2 linked regions of the Caenorhabditis elegans genome follow. The protein of the gene in region 1 purifies or fractionates together with the protein of each later gene. This does not show direct contact. Each region holds a gene or a part of one and is shown on either strand. Other genes may lie near its edges. The genes, in order: T01B7.5 and F52C12.2.

What was found.
Region 2: the proteins of T01B7.5 (region 1) and F52C12.2 fractionate together in Caenorhabditis elegans (co-fractionation; one large-scale study listed by BioGRID). This does not show direct contact.

What each region holds. Positions count from the first base shown.
Region 1 is NC_003280.10:8,714,861-8,722,257, forward strand, and holds T01B7.5 (Sas10 C-terminal domain-containing protein), read left to right. Parts: upstream 1-1,973; 5' UTR 1,974-1,984; coding exon 1,985-2,007; intron 2,008-2,059; coding exon 2,060-2,265; intron 2,266-2,309; coding exon 2,310-2,533; exon of another isoform or gene 2,534-2,576; coding exon 2,577-2,663; intron 2,664-3,528; coding exon 3,529-3,635; intron 3,636-3,682; coding exon 3,683-3,803; intron 3,804-3,848; coding exon 3,849-4,007; intron 4,008-4,173; coding exon 4,174-4,326; intron 4,327-5,072; coding exon 5,073-5,216; 3' UTR 5,217-5,221; intron 5,222-6,652; 3' UTR 6,653-6,825; downstream 6,826-7,397. Other genes in the region: Ras-related protein Rab-21, read right to left, coding at 11-148; cyn-11 (Peptidyl-prolyl cis-trans isomerase 11), read right to left, coding at 333-442, 880-1,060, 1,106-1,264, 1,319-1,420; T01B7.13 (uncharacterized protein), read left to right, coding at 557-711, 761-857.
Region 2 is NC_003282.8:1,951,786-1,957,235, reverse strand, and holds F52C12.2 (18S rRNA aminocarboxypropyltransferase), read right to left. Parts: upstream 3,658-5,450; 5' UTR 3,641-3,657; coding exon 3,225-3,640; intron 1,988-3,224; coding exon 1,620-1,987; intron 724-1,619; coding exon 722-723; 3' UTR 527-721; downstream 1-526. Other genes in the region: F52C12.6 (non-specific serine/threonine protein kinase), read right to left, coding at 348-511; tsen-54 (tRNA-splicing endonuclease subunit Sen54 N-terminal domain-containing protein), read right to left, coding at 4,135-4,270, 4,366-4,500, 4,555-4,691, 4,761-4,849.

The sequences.
Region 1 (7,397 bases):
AAATTATTACCTGAATCGTCGACAGGTGTTTGCAGCTGAATTTATTTTCAACGAATCGAAGCACAAGTGATGATTTACCAACACATCCTTCGCCGAGCAACACGATCTTGAATTTGAACGACTTCTGATCCACGTTGGTTTCGAGCATTTATTCTGAAAGTATTCGATTTTGAAGGTTTATTTTCTTTACTTCGCTTTTAAAACTGAACCAGATATACTAACAGTCACTTATACTGTCTTTTCATTTCATTTTTCAACCCATATAATCAGAAGTAATTAATAGTTTATTGTGAATATAACAAAACGAGATCAAAATAACAATACAGTGAAAATTAGAGTTGGCCACATTGAACAACAACAATCGGAAGTTTCGGCTTGTTATTGGCTCCAGTTGGAACATTTTCGATTTTCCGAACCGTCAGCATTCCATCGAGTACTCGTCCTGCAATAAACGATCGGTCAGAAATATCAAACATATCAATGGCGTCATTAACTAGCTTTATCTCGTATAAAAGGTGATAAGGATATAAGGAAATCTAGTTGTTTTAGCTAGACGATGACACGCATTCTCGTTCTAATTTTTTTCTTTTTAAAATGCGTTTCATTGCAAACATTACTTCCTTTATTGTATGCTAACGCTGGCATGTTCAACCCATATAATCAGTATAAAACAACAACTATGGCACCATCAATGTATCACCAACATTATCAGTGGGTATCATTAAAATTTGCGATTTTCTTTTTAAAACACTGCTTTCAGGGGATTGGGATGGAGAACTAATGACGTTGGAGACATTTATCACAATCACAATCCGTATTCTTCTTTCTTTGTACTACAGAAATCAACTTATCCGTGAATTTGAAATAAAAAAAAATTACCAAAAACTACATGTTTGTTGTCAAGGAAATCGGTTTTTGCGCAAGTGATAAAAAACTGACAACCATTTGTGTCAGAGCCAGCGTTAGCCATCGAAAGCATTCCTGGTCCTATGTGCTTCAGCTCGAAATTCTCGTCACGGAACTTTGAACCATAGATGCTCATCAAACCGGTTCCATCGCCCTGAAAAAATGATATAACTTTAAAATTTAAAATTGTTAAACTTACGTTGCAGAAGTCGCCACCCTGAATCATAAAGTCCTTGATCACACGATGAAATGTGCAGTTTTTGTATCCGTTTGGGACACCATCTTTTTTGTATTCTCCTGTACAGAACTGACGAAAGTTTTCAGCAGTTCTCGGTGTTACATCAGCAAATAACTCGATCTGAAAAATTATGAAATATATAGCAAATTAAAACTGGAATGGTCGTCAACTTACAACAATAGTTCCGATTGGTGCACCACCGGCGGTAACTTCTAGAAAAACGATTGGGTTATCCGGATGACGGAGCTGCTCGGCAAACTTGTCGTATTCAGTCATTCTGAAAAAGAAAACATATAAATGAGTTAGTTTTTAAAACCAGAAAAACGTTTTCTGTAAGTATTCGAAATAAGTATTTTCGAAATGTGTCAGGTTTTTCCGAGAATAATGGGATCAACTGAACTAATCGTTCATAAGTTTTATAACCAAGAAATACAAATTCGTCAATAAAATTCGACATATTCAAGAAAAAAGTGATATTCGTTCTATTCAAAACAAAAAAAGGTGAGCATTAAATGGGTGTATAGAACAATAATAAAGTGCGCGGGTAGTTTGCAATCAGAAACCCCGCCCACAAAGCCCTGCCGCTAATAATTTTCCCCCGTCTTTTCTCAAATTCAACTCGAAAATTCAATTTTTGAATAATTTATCTTGTAAAAGTTCGTTCTATTCATTTAAAAATTAATTTATCGAAGTTTATCACACGATTAAAGCATAATTAACTTTATTAGAGTTATTCATTGATTTGAAAATCAGAATTTGGTTTATTTTCGGTCGGTGCAATCCGTTTCTCTGTTGAAAATGCTATAAATTGCTAATTTTTGGATTTCAGATACTAGAACTATGTCATCAAGGAAGGGGAAAGCGTAAGTTGAATGTTTTTCACAATTTATAAATAATCATTAAATATATTTTCAGATCTGCTCATATCTCATACGAAGACGAAAATGATGATCTCATTGATGAAATCAATACTTTTCATAACAAAGACAGAAAAGTCGAAAAGGGTGCTATTCACAAAAGAAAAACATTCAATCGTCCAGAAGAGGTGTTAAACGTTGAAGCAGAAGCATCGGATAGCAGTGAAGACGATGGATCCGACTTTGATGATGACGATGTTAATGGTAGTTTTCTTTCTGAATTACCTGATTAACGTAATTTATTTAAGATATCACGGACAACAAATGGGGTAAAAAGAGGAAAGATTTCTATGGAACTGGATTCGTGGATAAAGATTGGGGCGGAATGCGTGAAGAAGAAATGGAAGATGCTCAACTCGAAGAGGAAGATGCGTTGACTCGTCAAAAACAAATCGACAAATCGACAGCTGCCATTGCTGATTTATTTGACGACGACGATGAAGATGAGGAAGAAAAAGAAGAAACTGTCGAGGTAAACGAATTGAAAGAATAATTAAAATAATGAAAAGTTTTAGGTGGAAACAGTTTTAGAATTCAATGAGGAGAATGCAAGGACAAAGAACAAAAAAATCGTGAAAACTCTGGAACAATTTGAAGCAAGAGTAAGTTCTAATTTTTTAAAATGTCTCTTCACTTTTTTCCCGGTATCAGTTGCAGCTTCTTCCTCTTGTGATAATTTCCTATTTCTTCCTAATGCCAATTCTCGAAAGTTTATTAAATTTTGAAGCTATCACTTGTGAACATCAAATGCTGATTCGTATCGTTTCCAAGGTTAATTTTTCGTGTTCTCTCTTTTTCAGTATCTTCCCGTTTTCACTTCATCTGTTCTCTTCATTCTTTCAACTAAACACCACCGATGGCTAGTAGATAAGCGGTCTCAAATCGCGCAATCGTCTCTGATTACGTCAAAAACGGGTTGCCATCATAGCCTAAGGATGCTGGACGATTCGCTTTAAACGATGATTCTCAACGGACAAAACACACAATTGAAACGATTTAAATCATCCAACATCAGACGCCGTTATGTGTGAACATTAAAAAGCGAAAGCAAAGTGCCCTTCTGGTGTCTGAAGAATTCGATGCCTGAACTGCTCGAGTTAGTTTCGTATGTTCTCATCCTCAAACATCACATTCTAATTATTCTCATAACTTGTCTTGTTTTCCTCGTTTCTGTTCACCTGGTCGGTTTGTAATTCACACCAAACGATGTTGGACATATATCGGCAGCGACCGCCAGCTTTTTCTGTTTTTCAATTATATATTGCTACTTTCAATTCTAATTAGCGGCTAAGAATTGTTATACAGCTGTTTCCGGAGAGCTCGTGACCAGTTTCCTTTTCACCTGATAACATTTTCTCTTGTTGTTATCTTTCTCTTCTTCCTTTTCACTTGTTTCTTTTCATCACCATTCTAACAGTTCAATTTTCCCCTTTTTTCGGTTTAATTTTAATTTTTTATACTTTTCAGAAACGCATCTTCGATCTCGTCGTGAAGCCTCTTGAAAATGTAATCAAGCAGATTCCAAAATGCGCATTGCGATCGCAGTTAGTCTACGTTGCCCAGACATATGCATCGTATGTTTTCTTTTCCTAAATTTCCATTTTTATGATTTATCTTTCAGATACCTCATGAACACAGCATTCCTGTTGAATCTCAGAGCCAAACAGTTTTCCAATGAAAAACTCGACGATCCACTTGTTGACATCCATCCTGTAGTGGAGTCGCTGAAACGACTTGAAAAGGTATTCCGATTGATTTAAATTTCAAATACAAACTTTTAAATTCAGAAAATCACCGAGTGTGAAGATTTTTTGCATTCGAATTCGGATCATCTGGATGAGCTCAAGAAATGGGCGGAGTCGGAGCCAGAAAATATGGAAGAATTGATTTCGAAGGTTGGAGATGTTCAACTTACAAAGAAGAATTTTGGAGCAATTATGAACAATGTAAGTTTAGGGAAAACATTATTCGAATTTAAATACATTTTTTGTTTGCCGTATATTTTAAAGATTTTTAAAGTTTGTAAAATTTAAAAAAATTGTACATTCTTTTGTCAATAAAAATCAGGAAACATAGCTGAATTGGATTAAGATCTGGATTTACTTTTTTCAGAATCTTTCAACAATCACATCTTCTGATAACACATCAATTCATCCACACTTCACACCAATGGATGCAGATGAAAAAAGAAAGGCCTCTGACAAAGTTGCCAAAAACCGTGAATACGCAGAACGACGTGGGAAAAAGAAGGCCAAGACCAGCAAGGTAACTTTATTTTCGATTTTTTATCTTATTTTTAATACCAAAAATATTTGTATCATAAACAATTAGTGTATGAAAAATAATTCGATGAGTAGGGTCGACATTTCTTGTGCATGAAAATGTTGTTACAATGCTTTCACGAATACATGAATATATTTGAAAAATAACAATTCTTGTTTGACAAAAAAGTCTCACAAAGCCGAGTTTCATGTGAGATCAAAATATGAATACACTACATAACTCTCTATTTTTTGCTCCAACCCAAAAATCCAATACGTCGAGACGGCGTCTATGCTCCCCACCACAGCGAGTAATTGGCTGCCGAAATCTCAACTTGCTTATTTGGTTTCTATTTTTTTAAGATTCTTTTTCGAGAGTTGTGATAAGAAAATAATTAATTCAGTATCACACCTGCTTGCTACTGAATTCAAAAAAAGTTTTTTAAAAAGCGTAGTGTAATGAATTATCTGAAGCATATTTTAACTCAAAAAGAAAACCGAGCACAAATGAAGCATATAACCATGACTTATTCAGACAGATAAGTAATACGATTTTGTTTAATCTTAATTTTTCTTGAAAGAAATAAAATAGACTCACTGTGACATAGACAATTCAACGTCTAGGCGACGACACTTGAGAGTTTCATCCTTGGTTACGTATACTATGCTCATTTTTACTGCAACTCCCAATTAGCTGCGTTGTGTGTTTTTTTTTTTGAAGTCTCCCAGTTCAATAATTTCTAATTTCAGACTAAAAATCGTCGCAAGGTCCACGCCATCGAGAAGCGCGTCAAGTCTCAGATTGGAAACGTTCGTCGCGAAATGCAGAAATATTCTGGAGAAACGAGCGGAATTCGTGCATCTACAATCAAGTCGACTAAGCTTATCGCTTAAAAAAAGTGAGTTGAATGTAATGCAGACATCTCATTCTGATATCGTGCCATGTCATATTTATCACGCGACATACTCTTCACTCTCCACTGCGCAAATGAGCTTCACTCTTTTACACATGAAAATAATTAGCATATGAAACCGAAAACAATGTGAATATTAACTTTCAACATAAATATCCTATCAACATATAAAAACAATGAAAAACCTGAATTTACTTATCATATGGTACGTATGTTTAACCTTTTCCTATTCCTCTCGTTTGCCCTTTTAGTCGGTTGAATGTGTTTTTGTGTGCCCGGTCACTTTGGGGCTATATTCATCAAAAGAGGATAGCCTTCTTCTTATTCTTCCTCCATCGGTCATTTCGCTCCTCTCTTTTCGACCCCGGCAATATGTGCGCGAGGTCTGGCACCACCGTGTGTGTGTGTGTGAGAGCGAGTATCCTATTTTTTATTCGTGTCCCCCGTCCCCATGAACGACTGGAGCCCTAGCCACCTGCTACTTTCCATTTTAGTTCAGCTGACCTCGTATTGTCTACGAGCTGTTCATAATTTCATAAGAGCAATAAAGTGTACTATAAAACTGTGATTTCAGACTGTTTCTCTATTTTTGAATCTTTTTAAATACAACAAATTCGAAAAGGTGTTGACTAGTCTGTCTGAATGAATATTTTAATTTGAGATTTGAGTCTGATGTGTGTTACACATTGATGAGAATTTAAAGTAATTGTGACGTGTCATTCTCGAAAACCAAGCCTCTTCGGATTTGTTCAATAATTCGTATAGCTCGTTTCATGTCAGAAAGGCGAATACCCGTAACTAAATTACTTTTTCCTAGAATGCTAAAGAAAATAACTGATCTATTTCAATCAAGTTTAGGCTAAAATTTAATAATTGATGGCGTTCACATATGTGTGTGTGCCTGCGTGTGTTTGCGTGTTCGATGATAAGCTTTCTTCTGATTGTCTTCCTATGATTCATCAATTCTATTGCCTCCAGCCTCTTCTTCTTTCATACAATTTTTCACTGAAAGTTTCATAGCTCTCGGAAAATGCCTACGACGAAAATTGTAGTCACATATCACATATTGATAAGCAGACGTTTTTCATATTTCTCTATTTCTATTCAATGATATAAAGTGGTCTGCAGCATGTTTGATTATTAATTTTTTTTTTTCTAAATTGAATTATCTTGGCTTTGAACTGATTAAAAAATGCATTTTCTATTTTCTTTACAATCGATCGTTTTGTTATAGTCCTCGTGTGAATTCTAAAAATGTTCGTTCATCAGAAATTATAGATGACCTTTGTTTATTTTGTGTCTTCTATGAAAAAAAAAAGAGCCTATCATCCAAAACTTCTGATATCAACGGTTGAAAATTAATTTTTATCAATTTTCTCAACATTGCATTACCTTTTCAACCAATTTAATTTTCAGGTGTCATCAATTTCTCCGTTGCCACTGCATTCAGCTGGACTTTCCTGGTTTTTTTGATCGTTAATATCTTGTTTTCTTTGATTTATTCATTTTTCATTTATCCTGTTAACCTTCGTTGTTGATTTTTTTTGTTCCTAAAATCGCCCTTTCTACCAAAATGAAGTTGAGTTTTCAATTTTATTGAAAATAATTATTTTATTGCCTTATATCGGTTTGAAACCCGACGAATATCTTTCTTCTATTATCTTATTATTGTCATTTCCCATATTCACATTACTTCTTCATTATTATCTTCATACATTGTTATCACATGGCTCCTCATTGATTATGATAGATTCATTTCCCCTCTGGAGATTTGATTGTCTTGGCAACAGTCATTCTCCCCACCAACACATATCAGCTCGCAGCTCCGCCTCATTCTACATTTTCTCATTTTACATTCCATTCAGTCGGCTCAGTGTCTTTCGTTTCCCCAAAAAGCTCGCTTAGATATAAACCTATAATTATCAGAGTGTTGAAGCAAACATCTCCGATGCTCGGTGAGCTGCAGTGACTAACTGAGACAAGCACTGGTTTTCAGCTTAGAAATTCACCTGTTTCTGTGGCATTTTCGCAATATTATATTTCCTGAATTTCTTAGAATCAGAGTGTCACTGTAATTTCAGCTGCTCGTTACCGAGGCTTCACGTAATGGGCGGACGAGTACTGTTCCCCAATGCTCCCCCAATCTTTGCACTTTTTTATC
Region 2 (5,450 bases), on another chromosome or scaffold:
ACAAATTTCAAGTTTTTTTTTGTGGGATTTGTGCCAAATTTTTACGAAAATTTGAATTAAAAGTGTAAGAGTCACAATTGATTCAATGGAGCGCATTTGCATCTTGCGGTAGACAGGAAATTTGAATTTGCGAGTGAAAATGCACGATTTTTCATATTTTTCTAGATATTTTCGAGTGTTTTGTCAACTTTTTCCGAACTTTTTTTTTGACATTTGAATTTTTGAGTTTTCTCAGTGGAGCGCACATGCAGCGTACGGACAGAGGGAAATTTGAATTTTTGTGTGAAAAAGTGAGATTTTAACCGAATTTTGCTAATTTTTAGCCGATTTTCGTCGAATTTTCGAACCTTTCTTTGATAATAGCCTGCCTTCCCAACCAAATACACTTTGTAACTTTCGCCTCGGCTCCCTGATACAGTAATCCATCGATTTGATACCCGAATCCCGTCTCAATTGTCGTCTCAAAATCCATTTCGCCTTCCGAGTCGGAGCTTGTCGTCGCCGCTGTCATTTTGAATTTTTTACCTGAAATTTTTATTAAATTTTCCAATTTTTTTTTGGCGGGGAAATGAGAGAAAAAACCGGAAATCAAGTAAGAAACATGAATAACAAACAATAACAAAAACGAAAAATTAAGGAAAAAAATTATCAAAAAAAAATCCAACGAAAAATGACAATGTGCAGAAATTGATGAAGCTCGGCGGCAGTGAATGGGGAGATTTTCTGAAAATTTTGAATTTTTTGAAGGAATTATTATTTAAAAATTAATTTTAGGGATTTTTTGCACTAAAAAAATTTTTTTTTTCTCGATTTTTGGAGCGGGAATATTATTTTTTGTGGAATTTTTTATAAATTTTAGGGTATTTTGATATAAAAATGCGTTTTTCTCGATTTTTTGAGCGAGAAATTCAATTTTTTCGGTCTAATATGTGACTTTTCTAAAAAGAAAAGTTAAATTTTTAAAAATAAATTTTTCCTTAAAACTTTAATTTTTATTCGTTTATCACAGAAAATTCCAATTTTTTTGTCATTTTTCCTAAAATTCGAATTTTCAAATTTTTTTTCAACTTTTTTTTTTGGAAAATTTAAAATTTTATCGTCTTTTCCCCGAAAAATACGCATTTTTATAGAAATAAAAAAATGTTTTTTTAGAAAAATAAATTTCTTATATTTTTTCCCCAGAAAACTGAAGAAAACATTTAATTATTTTTTTCAAATTTTTTTTTCAGAAAATTCAATTTTTTAATATTTTTTCTTGGAAAATTGAAATTGAAATATAGAAAAACTTCTCAAAAATTCAAATTTTTATCGATTTTCTCAAAAAAAAAAATTTTTTTTTTAAAGGTTTTCAAAGAATTTTTATGAAAACTGTGATTTTCAGTTAATTTTCAATTTTTTTTTCCGAAAAATTAAATAATTTCGTACGAATTATGAACGAAAATTAGAATTTTTCAGTTTTCAGTAAAATTGTGAAAAAAAACCAAAATCTCTAGTGATTTTTAGTAAATTTGCAAATATTTAAAATTTTCGATGATCAAAAATTTGAAATTTTTGCAATATTCTTCAGTTTTATGTCAAATTTCTTCGCTTTTTCAGAATTTCCAGTCGAAAATCCTCACATTTCTTCAATTCTTCCACTTCTTCCTCATCCTCATATTCTTCATCACTACCACTCGGCGGTAGATCAATATCCCGGGAATGTTGCTCCCGTTCCTTATCGATTCTCTCCAAATACTCATTTTGTGCTCGAATCACGTCTTCCGGTGTATCACAAGCCGCGTAGAGATCTAAAAGCTCTTTGTTGAGCTCAATAAAGTGATCTCCCCAGGAGAAGGGCTTCATGAGGCGGCTTGCGGCCTCCTGGAAGCCTAAAATGTAGAGACCGGCGGCCATCGCCTCGGCACATGTTAGATGACATGGTTTTCCGTAGTTGACTGAATTGGCTGCCACCAAATATGGAAGAAGACGGTGCTCCGGGGCTTTTACTCTGGAAAAATTGCAAGTTTTTTAGGGGAAAATGAAAATTTGGGCAGAGGTTCCCCCTACGCGTGACTAAATGTGAACTACTGATAGTCGCAGGTGTTAATAATGGTATTTTTGGTAAAAAAAATAACATAATTAACATCTAGATTATCGATAGATCACATTTGCCACAGAAAATTTCATGTTTTGCGAATTTTCGATTTTTTTCAGAAAAATTTAATAAAGTTATGGGGTTATTCAAGTAATGTCGGAAAATTAAAAAGTGTTGATAAATTACGTCACAACTGTATTCAAGTATATAAAAACATGTATTTAAATACATTTTGCTACACTACTTGAATCACCCCATAACTTTATTAAATTTAGTTTTTTTTTCAAAATTTTTGAGTTTTATTCAAATGTTCTATTTGAGTATAGCCATTACCAATTTTTCATCATATTTGATAAAAAATCGTGGGCCCCACCATGAAAACTACAGTAACCCAGACAATTTCGTGGCGAGACCCGAAACTTGAAATTTCTAACTTTTTAGCCATTTTTTTTTGTTGCAGTTTTTTGAAAATAAAATCGAGAATGTTTAATAAAGGATAATATTTTACAATAAATCCTTTTTGTATGAGAAGATAATGGCTTTAATAATACATTATTAAGTTTCCTAAGTTGTTGAGGTGGAGTAATGAAATTTTGGGCAGAGGTTCCCCCTACGCGTGACTAAATGTGAACTACTGATAGTCATAGATGTTAATCATGTTATTTTTAGTAAAAATAACATTATTAACACCTAGATTATCAGTAGAGCACATTTGCCACAAGGAATTAAAATTTTAAAATTTTAGATTTTTCAGGCAATTTTTTTTGTGGTTTTTATTTTTGAAAAAAATTGAGATTTTTCAGAGCTTAAAGCAAGCAATAAAATTTCATGTAGATTTACGGGAGGAGACTTGTGTGAATTTACGAGAACATCATGTGGATTTACGCACGGTTTTTGTGTGGATTTACGGGGGATTCTAACATTTAAATTTAGAAATTCTGAATTTCTCAGGTTTTTATTTAAAATTTGAAATTTTTCACTGAGAAATTGAGAAAAATCCTCAAAAATGCTGATTTTGAAGCGACTTTCCACTGAAAATATTTGAAAATGGATTTTTTAAAAATGTTTCGTCGAAAATTTTTTTTTATAACAGATTTCCAGAATTCTAAAATTTTCCAGATTTTCCTCGATTTAATGCGTTTTCCCGCACCTATGCAACGGAGTTCTCTCGACTTCCTTCCATGAGCAATCCACAACGCAGAGCCCATTCTGTTCGACAAATGGACGGTCTCGCGGAGCCAATGTGTACGTTCCGGTTGGACTGAGCACTAATCCGGGAAATCGTTGCCCGAGCTTCACTTCTGTGATCAAATTCGCACGAAGAAGCTTTCTCCCGGAGCATCGCTTCGGATCGCACTGATTAAAATCGTACATCGCCAGACGAAATGGGAATTTGTAGTCTTCTTCCGGCTCGTCGTCAGAGTCTTCTGAGCCCGGCTCCGATGTGGATTCATCTTCGATATCCTCTTCTTCCTCTTCTGTCTCAACTTCTTCCTCCACATTTCGCTCTTTCGGCGGTTTATCCGCTCTTCGTGGCTTCACAACTCGATGTTTTCCTTTTCCCATTGCAAAATTCCGACAATCTGGAAGAAACATATTTTTAATTGTTACCATCTTTTCGATTATTTACACAAAAAAACACCTTCAAATATAGAAAAATCAAGAAAAAAAATGGTAAAAACTGAATATAAATAAAATAGAAACAACGAAGCTCCGAAATCCCGATGGCGCGTGTTGTTTAGCGGACCACCGAGTTTCGGAGATTTTCTTTTGAGAATCGATATTTCCTGGTGAAATACCTAAATTTAAATCAAAATTTAGTTTAAAAAACCAATTTTTCAAAAAAAAATTCATTAAAACCACTAAAAACCCCTATTTCACAACGATTTCCGATAAAATTCAAAACAACAACACTCCGAAATAACGAAATAACGTACCCGCGCCCAGTTTAACCGGCAAGTTTTTTGGGCGGAAGTTTGAACAAGAATATTGAAAATTGAACAACTTCGGGGGAAAAATAGAGCAACAAATACGATAAAAATAGCGAAAAAATCGATAAATCAACACAAATAATTATTGAGATCAATCGACGCTCCACTCATCGCAACGAAATTCACTTTTCCGGCCTCTTCCATCGCGAAGACCACGTTTTCGAGCTCGGCGAGCTCCGAAATTTTCAGCGGTGGTCCGGTGGCGCTGAAAAAGCGGAAAATTTGAAAATTTCTCCTTTCCCGGGTTAAAAAAAGGCCGGGAATTTCAAATTTTTTGGTTAAAAATTCGAAAATGCTCACCTATAACAAATTAGTGAGAACAACGGCCGAGCTGGTAGCCGATGGGAGAAAGAGGCTGGCGAAAACACGTGAAAATCCACATTTTCTACAGTAATCCGCTCTCGGCGGAGCTCGGCGTGCGACGGTGGGCGTAATCTGAAAATTACAGGAAAATTGGAGCATTTTTTTTAGAAATTTCCTAGAATCTACTTTTTAAGCCTCCTCAAAACCGTCTCCTGTCGGGCCTGCTCGGCCTGAAATCGGAATTCCTGCCAATTTGTCACATGGTGATCTACAAATGGCCAGTAAGACGGCGGTCGGCACGGCGGTCGATTGGGTGTGGGCGGCTGAAATTTTTGAATTTTTTGATTTGGCGCCACCAAAATTTCGGCGGGATTTCGGAGTGTCGTACTAACTTTTAGATTCTGTAAAATCGTGGAAGTTTGGATGGATTCGAGCATTTCCAAGGGAAGAAAGTTGACGAGCGCCGGCGATGTGTGGAGTACTGTAAGAGAATTGTGTGGATTTACGGGGGATTATTGTAGAATTACGGGAGCTTATTGTAGATTTACGGGGGATGATTGTGAAGATTTACGGAAGCATTTTGTAGTTTTACGGGGGTTAATGTAGATTTACGGAGGCTCATTGTGTAGATTTACGAGGGATTACTGTAGATTTACGGAGTTTTGTGTAGATTTACGGGGGATTACTGTAAATTTACGGGGTATTACTGTAAATTTACGGGGTATTACTGTAGATTTACGGGAGCTTATTGTAGATTTACGGGGGATGATTGTGAAGATTTACGGAAGCATTTTTTAGTTTTACGGGGGTTAATGTAGATTTACGGAGGCTCATTGTGTAGATTTACGAGGGATTACTGTAGATTTACGGATTTTTGTGTAGATTTACGGGGGATTACTGTAAATTTACGGGGTATTACTGTAAATTTACGGGGTATTACTGTAGATTTACGGGAGCTTATTGTAGATTTACGGGGGATGATTGTGAAGATTTACGGAAGCATTTTGTAGTTTTACGGGGGTTAATGTAGATTTACGGAGGCTCATTGTGTAGATTTACGAGGGATTACTGTAGATTTACGG